2 linked regions of the Caenorhabditis elegans genome follow. The protein of the gene in region 1 interacts with the protein of each later gene in a pairwise test. Each region holds a gene or a part of one and is shown on either strand. Other genes may lie near its edges.

Region 1 (3,537 bases):
CGGAATTGAATAGTTCTGGCAAATTGGCAAAACGGCAAAATTCCGGCAAACTGCAGGAATTGAAAAGCTTTGGCAAATTGGCAAACCGGAAAAATTCCGGAAAATTGCCGGGATTGAAAAGTTCCGAAAAATTGGAAAACCGGCAAATTTCCGGCAAATTGGCAAACCGGCAAACCATTTTTAAAACTCACAAGTACGCATAAATGAGCCAATGAGCCAATTCAATCATCGTCGGCCAGCCAACACAGAGCACAGATTATATGCCGAAACGGCAAATTTTGTGAGAAATGGAAATCTTTAGCCTCGCGATGACATTTCAGAGGCAGCAGCTGTTATTTGGAGCCCCGCACGTGGTGAGAGTGAGAACTCGAACAAAATTTAGAGAGGAGGAAAAGTTGTTGGAAAACGATCAAAGGTGAGTGTGGAGAAACGGATATGAGTAACCGGAAGAAGTTGTTTTTTGGAGTAAAGTAAAAAGAAGTTGTTTTTTGGAGTAAAGTAATTTAAATTCCAAATATTATAAAGACAACTACTGAATGTAATATATAATTCATCTCATCGTTAAAAAGATTGCAAAATCAACCAGTTCATATTCTGGCAATGTTAATTCAAGCAATATACATGTTAAACATAAGCAAAATAGTTTGGGGCAGCGGAGAATCTATATACAGGAAACGACCAAAACAAAAAAGGAAAATAAAATAAAGGGGAAAGTTAGTTGATATATTCAACAAGAACCACTGATACAATAATACAGAATTATGTACATTACAAATTATAGGACATATGTCTGGAGTTACTCGTCCTCTTCATCCAGTTTGAATGTCTCGAGGAACGTGATCAGGTCCTCGACTGGCACAATTCCCTTTCCCAGCGGGATCATGTCCTTTTCGATCTCAAATTCGTGGATTTCGACTGGATCTTCGACAATCAGCACACGTCGGTTCTTGCACTTCACTGTTTGCTCCAATTCGATGTACTGAAAATTTCATAAATTGAAAATCGAGATTTTATTGCTGCTCAACTCACTCTACTTCTCCCTGAAGTATTCCTGGCGTTCGAGTTGTTATTGTACACGATCCTCGTTTCCACGTGGCGCTTTCCTCGGATAGAACACGTGATTGATGCAGTCGAGGCCATCAGTCGGCCTTGTGAATCGAGTCCTGGCTCGAGATTTCCGTATTCCCGGCAGTTTGTGGTTCGCAGGTGACGAGTGGTAGTCTGAAAAAGTTATTGGCATGAAACAGAAAACTGTTTCTCGTACTCTGCCCTGTGATCGGTTCAACGTTGCCACCACAAAGCTGTCTGTCATCTGGAATCCTTCGTTTTCCATCTCCAGTTGTTCGAGCATAGCAAACAATAGATGGAATGGCATTTCAGTCGTTGCCTGGATCGCGAATCGAACCACATTTTGACCCGTCTCTTTCGGCTCGGCCAGGAAGGAAGTCTGAGATTAAATTTAATTCTTTCAGGAAAAATATTCTCAAGAAATTAACCAGAATCAAACTGGAGATATCCTCGACCAACAGCATGCGGCACTGAGCGGCGAAATAGTGTGGTCGCTGATTGGGATGAAGGAGCACGTGCTCGACAAGCGCTTTCTCCGATTCTCTGGTCGTGTTGAACCATCTTTGCGAGAAGAAGTCGTAGCGCTTGAGACGAAGACTTTCAATCGGCATTGTTTGAATGCTTCTGAGCACTTTGACAGCTTCATCGCGGATGACTGTCTTGCTCGGCTTCTTGTCGACGAGCTTTGGAGTCTCATCGATACGATGCAGGGAACGGTAGTTCTGATCGTCGACGAGCTCCACGTCTTCTCCATGCCCTTCGATAATTACATCATGATTGATGTTGGGTTGTGGTGGGAGGGCAGAGCAACCGGCTCGAGCGGTTTCCAGGTGATCTTCTTCGTTGTAGTTGACCACGTATCTGGTCGCTGTCAATTCGCGAAGAACGGTGCGAGATGGAGCTGACATTCTGAAAAATTTTGGTGTAAAAAATTAATGGAAAAGAAGAAAACAATGTGCTCAAGTGATTTGCAGATTAAGAATAATTTACCGATAAAGCTATGAAAAAGATTCATTAAATCTCTCTGAGCATCAGCTTAATACATCAGCAAAGAAGAAGAATTCACACGATCAAAAAATTTTGTTGGGCCTAAAATAATGAAATTGTTGCGCTGATTTTTCGCGGGGAGATCATTCATAAAAATTACAATATTCATTCAAAAATAAATACTTTTGGATTTGTTTTATTCACTTTTTTTAATGAAAAATTAACAGTGATTGGAACTTTTTAATAATTAAATCAAGATTTAAATATCAGAAAACAACAAAAATTCGTTCGAGAACTTTCTCAAGCCTACCGTACTCTTTAAAGGCGGCGCCTGAAGATTTTCACATGGCTATCACCACGACGCAAGTTAAATTTGACTTTTTACTTATAATTCGTTCTTTTTATTGCGATTTTTTAATATTTTCAGCATCGAAAAAATTTAACAAACGTTTTTCTTATTTTTAAAACGCTTTTGATGCTTTGTGCTCGTCTTAAAAAAAGCTGAAACGAATAATTCTCAAAAAAATTCGTCTTTTCTGGGTTACCGTACTCTTTAAAGGCGCATAACAATTTTCACATAGGTCTCGACAAAGCGTGGGAGAAATTTGAATTTTCAATCAAAAAACGTTTGTTTTGTTGCGATTTTCAGGCTTTTCCTCGAGTTTTCAACGCTTTTTGCTCGTTTTTTTCGCTCAAATAAATTATTTCAGAAGATTCTACAATGGGGGTTATCATCCCCGCTGTACTTCTCGCTTCGGCGACGGTGATTGCTTGGCTTATCTACAAACACTTGAGAATGCGTCAAGTTTTGAAGGTTTGATTGCAAAATTCATTTAAAGATAAATTGAATAAACTTTCAGCACCTCAACCAACCACGATCATACCCAATCGTCGGTCACGGACTCATCACAAAGCCCGATCCAGAGGGATTCATGAATCAAGTGATTGGAATGGGATATTTGTATCCAGATCCACGGATGTGTCTTCTCTGGATTGGTCCATTCCCATGTCTTATGCTCTACTCTGCCGATCTTGTTGAACCTATTTTCTCTTCCACGAAACATCTGAACAAAGGGTTCGCATACGTTTTGCTTGAGCCATGGCTTGGAATCAGTATTTTGACGAGCCAAAAGGAACAATGGCGTCCAAAGCGAAAACTATTGACACCAACCTTCCATTATGATATTCTCAAGGATTTCTTGCCGATTTTTAACGAGCAATCGAAGATTTTGATTCAGAAATTGTGTTGCCTCGGTGTAGCAGAGTGAGAATTTTAATTCTTACATAACTCTTTCGAACGTTTTATTTCAGTGAAGAAGTTGATGTTCTCTCCGTCATCACCCTTTGCACTCTTGACATCATCTGCGAAACTTCCATGGGAAAAGCTATCGGTGCTCAACTCGCGGAGGTTCGGGAAATTCTTCCATCTATTTAAATTTCTAAATGTTTTTTTTTTCAGAATAACGAGTATGTATGGGCGGT
Region 2 (6,218 bases), on another chromosome or scaffold:
CTAAATTTTTGATAATCCTGATGGAGGCTAGATATCTATGTACTCAAAGTTTTTTACTCAGAACTTTTTTGAGCACATAGTTAAAATCTTAAAACTAGTTGACCGGTTTTGCCACGAAAGGAGTGAGCTGAGAGTAATGAAAAATGCAAGACAGATTTTTTCAGACAGTGTTACTTCAACTCCTAAAATAATGATCAAGTGAACTTTACAGTCAATGTGCAGAAAAAACTCACAGGTCCACCAAGTACAGTTATTGCTCACGCAACACGAGTTGTAGTGCCACTTCTCGTAAAGGACGTGTGTCCAGTACATAAACATGACCGTGTAAACCAGTTATCATCTGCCATTGTTTGGACAAGAAAGCACCCGGTTTACTGGAACATCTGTACGGCTAAGCGCCCGCGCATGATGCTGCTCAATATGGTCAAAAGATACACAGAAAGCTAATGAGCATAAAGTGGAAATCAATCTTGATTTTAGCAGTTGGTAGAAGAAAAATGTTCAACCTCTGATCTAGACTCCAGAGTCAATGTTTGATTGCGCAAGGTACTTGGAGTATGATATAATAGTTTTGAGACAATGGACGATAGGTAAAGAGAGGGGATAGACTGTTCAACAGGTAACTAAAACGAAAATTGGAATTTTGGAATAAAAACTTTCCGAGCACAAAAATTTAGTCATTCAAAATCAGCGGCAATTATTTGTTGGCAATTATACAAAATGAACGATAGAACCATGTTTTTCCAGTTTTTTTTAAACCTAAAACAGAGTCAACATATAGAAAATTACTTGATTTATTTGCTAATTGTATTTATTTTAACTGAAACATTTGAGAAAGTTGTAAAATGACCTGAAAGTTGTCATTTCCCGGTTATCGAAGGTTCGAATTATTGAGCATAATTTTTTTTTGCAATCCACAACTTTTCAGGCAATTACTGAAGATTTTTACAAATGAATGCTATTTTCAGATAAAACAAGCGATTTTCTACATTTTGACACTAAATTTTAATTAAAAATGTTGGAGCAATATGGCGCAATAGGTCATTTTGTAGATATACACACTACGAAAACTTAAAAATTTAATCAAACTCAAGTGATCATCACTATGAAATGCGGGAGTGAAATAAGTGTGGTGGTACGGGTTGTGTGTGGCAGAAGCTGGTGAAATAGATATCGGTACAGGTGTAAAATGATATTCCAACTCCTGGCGTCTGTCTCCCTAACACTACTGAATGTCTCTGTATGCTGCTTCGATTCAACCCGAAAAGAAACCAGGAGCTAGCCCGAAGAAACGACGCGAGAAGGAAGGCAATGAGAAAATAATAGGCAAGTTTAGAATTTCAAACCTCGGATACTCTTACTCTGCGCTCCGGTCCAAGCGGCCTCCTCCTACTTTTTCAAGATCTCCCATTACCACTGTGTCAATTTTTTCAAAAAATTTGTTATCACACAAAAGTTCCATGAAAACTTCCAAAATGGTAGCATTGATACAGTACGATCTTTTGGTGCTCGTTCATTCCTATTCGACGGAGAAAATAGAGGCGTGGCCAAGAGCACACACACACACACTGGGGTGAGCCAACGGGGAGGCGACATTCACTGGGGGACGACAAGAGGACGACGCTCTCGGCTCACAGCACCACTCACCACCTACTCTCTTTTTGTCAGCTCCTACCGGCGCCGGATCGACGGATCTTTTAGGATCACGTCTTCTGTGATCTGGCTCATCGAACATGCAGCAGTCATATAACCCGCAAAATAGTCTGACGTAAGTTGAGATCCTTGAAGCAACAACTCGGGAAAGCTCGGGTTACGATCTTCTTTGGTAATTGTATACGTGGCAACGCGACACCGATGGGGCGGCGGTGGCGCCAAGCGATAGTTTTACTTTAGAGGATTCTTTTCCCCCTTCCACCGTCTCAGTCTTCGAATGAGTTCGTTTTTCACCGTGGTGTTCTTTTCCTTAATTCAAGGGGATTTCAATTCAAATCAGGAGTGTGGAATTCCAAAAACAAAGATCGAATTCGACGAAAAGTTGATCCAATATATTCCTTCAAAATTTAGTTCCAAAATATGCAAAAATATTTGTTTGATTCGAAAAAATGTTCGAATTTCAGTTTCAAAAAGTTCGGCAAAAACTCCAATTTTTGAGCTTCTCTACACAATTTTAAATGGGAGCGAATGTTATTTTCAAATCAATCAAATATTTTTCTATATTTTGGCACTACATTTTATGAAAAAATATAGAAACAACTTTTCGCAATATGCTATTTTGTAAAACTGCCTAAAATAATTATAAGTTTTGCCCCTCCGAATTTTTTAGTGTTTATTTTTTCCAAGTTACGTAAAAACTTTAATTTTTTGAATTTCCAGAGCAACCACATCCTACTCGGAGCAAGAAATTGTGTGTATTTGTGAGTCCTTATTCAACGAGGGACTTCAGACAGGACGGACTGAGCAATTGGTGAGTTTCTTTCAAATTCAGATCAACTTTTCATTTTTTATTTTGTTGCGAATTTTGTGGGTTCCGTCTCTTTTCGCTTCGATCATCATTTTCTCCCCTACCTCATCATAATCTTCTCCTTCTTGTTGCTTCGAACGCAGGTGTCATGTGTCACTTATCAAAAGTTTTGACAAACATTTGACGTAGTCTCTCACTGAAGATCATCTCTCTCCCCCTCTTTTCTCCAATTGCTTGAATTTTGCGGTTTTGAGTTTGGAAGAGTCGAACGATAAAAACGTGAAGCAAAAAGGTGACAGAAGGAAGCGAGTACGGTAGCTGCCGCACGCGCGCTTTTCCCTTTTTCTTTCTAGAAAGCAAACAAAAGTCCATTATGGATGAAAGCTTGATGATGATGACGATGTGGGGAAAGTGGGAGCAGATGTTGGAACCTTATAGAGACAGAAATTTAGATTTATTCTAAATGGGGATACCGTTTTGAACTTGCAACTTCTGTGCTCCACTTTGACACATTATATCTTGCCTTTTTTGATTTTCATCAACAAATTGTCAACTGACAAAATACATAGAAAATATTTTTCTATAACACATTTTGACTTTGAAATTTTTTTTGATAAAATCCATCACAGATAAGATATGAGCCGTCATAGTAAAGCAATGGAAGAGAAAGTCTAAACAGGAAAATAATACATTTTTTAAGGTCATCAATGCAACGTAATCTAAAAATTAAAAAAAAAAAAACTATCCTATTAATATTTAACAAGGGCGTCAGTACGTTGTTCTGCAAAATTGACAAAACTGTCGAATTAGTTATGGTGGTCCAATTTTTGAAATTAAAAATGCATGTCAAAATATAGAAAAATTCGATTAATTCGAAAGCGATATTTATTTTCTTGAAAACTTCATAGAGACTTGCTTCAAACTATTTGTAAACTTTAATTTATTTTTCTTGAAACGGCAATTTTCAAGTACTATTCGAGATTTTTCGCAATTTTTTCAACAAACATGAGTAACATTTTCGATTCAATCAGGTGTTTTCCTACATTTTTATTAATTTTTATTCAAAACTTTAATACAAAAAGCTAGATTTTCGTACTGAAAAAAGCAGCTTCAAAAAAAAAAAATTAAAAATTCTATATTTCAACTTTCAGGCCAATTTCATCTACAACCTTCCACAATGCTACCAAGTAATGGAATCAGTTTTAAAAGCACAAGCTCTTGTGTATTTTACAACACAAAACTGGAAGATGCTCTACAAGTTACTGGAATGCAGCAAGTTTTCCCCACATAATCACACAGTTCTACAAAATTTGTGGCTTGATGCACATTATAAAGAGGTGAGTATCGGAAGGATTAGGGTGTTAATACTTGACTGATCTGGGGACCACTTGTCCAGTTCAATAAGCCAACGTTGCATAATATTATATCATAGTCCGCGAATCTGAGATCAATATTAGCTAACCCAAAGTTTACAGGCTGCGAAAACAAAGGATCGGGAGCTAGGAGCGGTTTGCAAATACCGGATCCGAAAGAAGAACCCATTTCCAAACACAATTTGGGATGGAGAAGAGACAAATTATTGCTTTAAGTCGAAATCTCGAAATGTTCTTCGGGATGCTTACAAGAAATGCCAGTACCCATCAGTAGAAGATAAAAGACGATTAGCTCAACAAACTGAATTATCAATTATTCAAGTTAGTTTTGAGTTCAATTCGTTACTTATCCAAAACACAAACTTTTGCAGGTGTCCAACTGGTTCAAAAACAAGAGGCAACGTGAGAGGGCAGCTGGTCAACTCGATAGGTGAGTATGGTCCTCCTGGCGAGTGGGGTTGTAATGGTCTGCATGCGTGGAGTTGGTGTGTGTTTAAGCTTGCGCAATCGGACATATTACTAAGGATAATCTAGTAACTGCAGTCAAGATTTGTCATAGAGAATGGGAAAAAAGATGAGGTGCAATAAGTTGAAAAAGGAAAAAAGTTTACTTGGAATGGGTCAAAATCGATTTTTTTTTCCAAGTATGCCACTATTTATTAACGCTAGAATTTTTATTTATACTCAAAATTTAATTCTCTTTTAAAAAACATTATGTTTCAAACAAGCAAAGTTAATGTGATTTTACGGTTGCCTTTAACTAATTTGACTTTGAAATCAACATTGATATAAGTTTTAAAGTGAAATAGCTTCAAAGTTAACAGAAAGGTTTTTCAATTTAATATAGTTTTCCGGAACAAAAACACCTACTTTTTCCCTGTCAGTCGTTTTGGTTCGCTCTTTTTTGACAGCTTGTATCTCGTTTCTCTTTGATTTTATTTAAAAAATTATCCACTGACAAATTATGTATCAAATATTTTCCTACATTTTGACAGAAAAGTATTTTTTTGTCGAAATGTCAGCTGAGATTTAAGCTGTCAAAGTGGAGCAATGGAAAATACGGTAAAATTCAAAGTTTTGAATTTTTTTATCGTTTACATAGTTGTAATTTATAATAGTTCCATCTTTTATCTCCACCTCCTACCATATCCAGCTTCTCGTTCGTTCAAAAAAGGTGCAAAGAAAGGGCACCCCGCTGTCATTAGTGTTTGCCCAAACTTTGCAGTAAGAGTCGTTGACACGATCCTGTCGCGGCTCGAACAATACGCATTGTTCGTGTTGTTGGCGGAGATCCTCTTCTTGTTCAGAACATATGAAGAGCTTCTCAAACAAGACATAGAAGCGATAAGTTTTATGACCGGGGAAGGTGTCAGTTGGGAGAGTTTCTTTGAATGTAGTATGAACAAAAAACTCGGAAACACTCTTTCAAGATGTCCCAATATCAAAATATCTATGTTTCAGAAGCTCCGCCAGATCCAACGACAGTGACGATGGATCATCTGGCTGTGAATCAAAACCTCCGATGAATATTGACAGCCCTGCGCCTCCGCCATTACCAACTTCATTTGATCTACAACCCTATTATCCATCACCTTACACATTTGCTCCACATTGTGACTTTTCATACATTCAGAATTTGTGATGACTGCTTTTCCCCCTCAAGACCATTAGAATAACTTTTAACTATATTTTTGACATACCTTCCCTGCCATTTCAAGTACTCTAACTCATCGGTTCTTCCAAACTTCAGTTTTCTCCCAAAGACAGTATTTTTTGATATTCATAATACAAAATATCTTTAATCAATAAATTATATTTTTTTTTACAACAAAATGAAAAATACTTTTTTTGATGGCACATGGCGTTGAGTGGGCAAATGTTTGAAGAACACGTCTTCCCAATTAACAGTCTCGTTGTGCTTTTATAAGTATATTCAACTTTCCGACGACCGTCTGGGCATGTTACATTGAACTCCGATCTCAGCTCTTCTAAAAATGAGAATTTTCGAATGCCCTTTTCCGCTTGTTACCTAAATCTTTTGATTGACAGCATATTCCTTTTCTAGTACAATAATGAGAATTGATTTTGCTTGTTTTCCAATTACAATCTTTCTGAAATTAAAAAAATTATATTCGTAAGAAAAACTATAAATTCTTACATGACTTGCGCATTGCTGGGGTATAGCCGGATTTCGATGAAATGGGCATCCTTTATAGTTGCCTAAAAAAGTTTTTTACATCATGTTATTGGAGTTCCAATAGCTTGAATGAATCATAGCGGCAGAATCAATCAGCGCGGGGCCGTTCGGCGAATTTATTTTCCGGCAATTTGCCAAATTGCCGGTTTGTCGATGTTCCGGCAACTTGACGAATTGCCGGTTTGCC

Evidence for each region. Proteins that work in one complex are often made in the same cells at the same time.
Region 2: the proteins of memi-2 (region 1) and ceh-34 interact in a two-hybrid assay, tested with the Caenorhabditis elegans proteins (one large-scale study listed by BioGRID).

What each region holds. Positions count from the first base shown.
Region 1 is NC_003282.8:13,398,530-13,402,066, forward strand, and holds memi-2 (MEiosis-to-MItosis transition associated), read right to left. Parts: upstream 1,978-3,537; 5' UTR 1,977-1,977; coding exon 1,497-1,976; intron 1,448-1,496; coding exon 1,265-1,447; intron 1,222-1,264; coding exon 1,030-1,221; intron 980-1,029; coding exon 797-979; 3' UTR 539-796; downstream 1-538. Other genes in the region: cyp-31A5 (CYtochrome P450 family), read left to right, coding at 2,777-2,869, 2,916-3,319, 3,367-3,463, 3,515-3,537.
Region 2 is NC_003283.11:5,314,952-5,321,169, reverse strand, and holds ceh-34 (Homeobox protein ceh-34), read left to right. Parts: upstream 1-1,592; 5' UTR 1,593-1,733; coding exon 1,734-1,768; intron 1,769-2,373; coding exon 2,374-2,464; intron 2,465-3,612; coding exon 3,613-3,798; intron 3,799-3,936; coding exon 3,937-4,155; intron 4,156-4,205; coding exon 4,206-4,264; intron 4,265-5,295; coding exon 5,296-5,476; 3' UTR 5,477-5,580; downstream 5,581-6,218. Other genes in the region: C10G8.2 (BPTI/Kunitz inhibitor domain-containing protein), read right to left, coding at 5,581-5,822, 5,864-5,945, 5,993-6,054. UniProt on the Caenorhabditis elegans protein: Acts as a transcription regulator. Binds to the sequence motif 5'-TCAGGTT-3'. Binds to the cis-regulatory element of proapoptotic factor egl-1 gene and together with eya-1 activates egl-1 expression to promote motor neuron M4 sister cell apoptosis.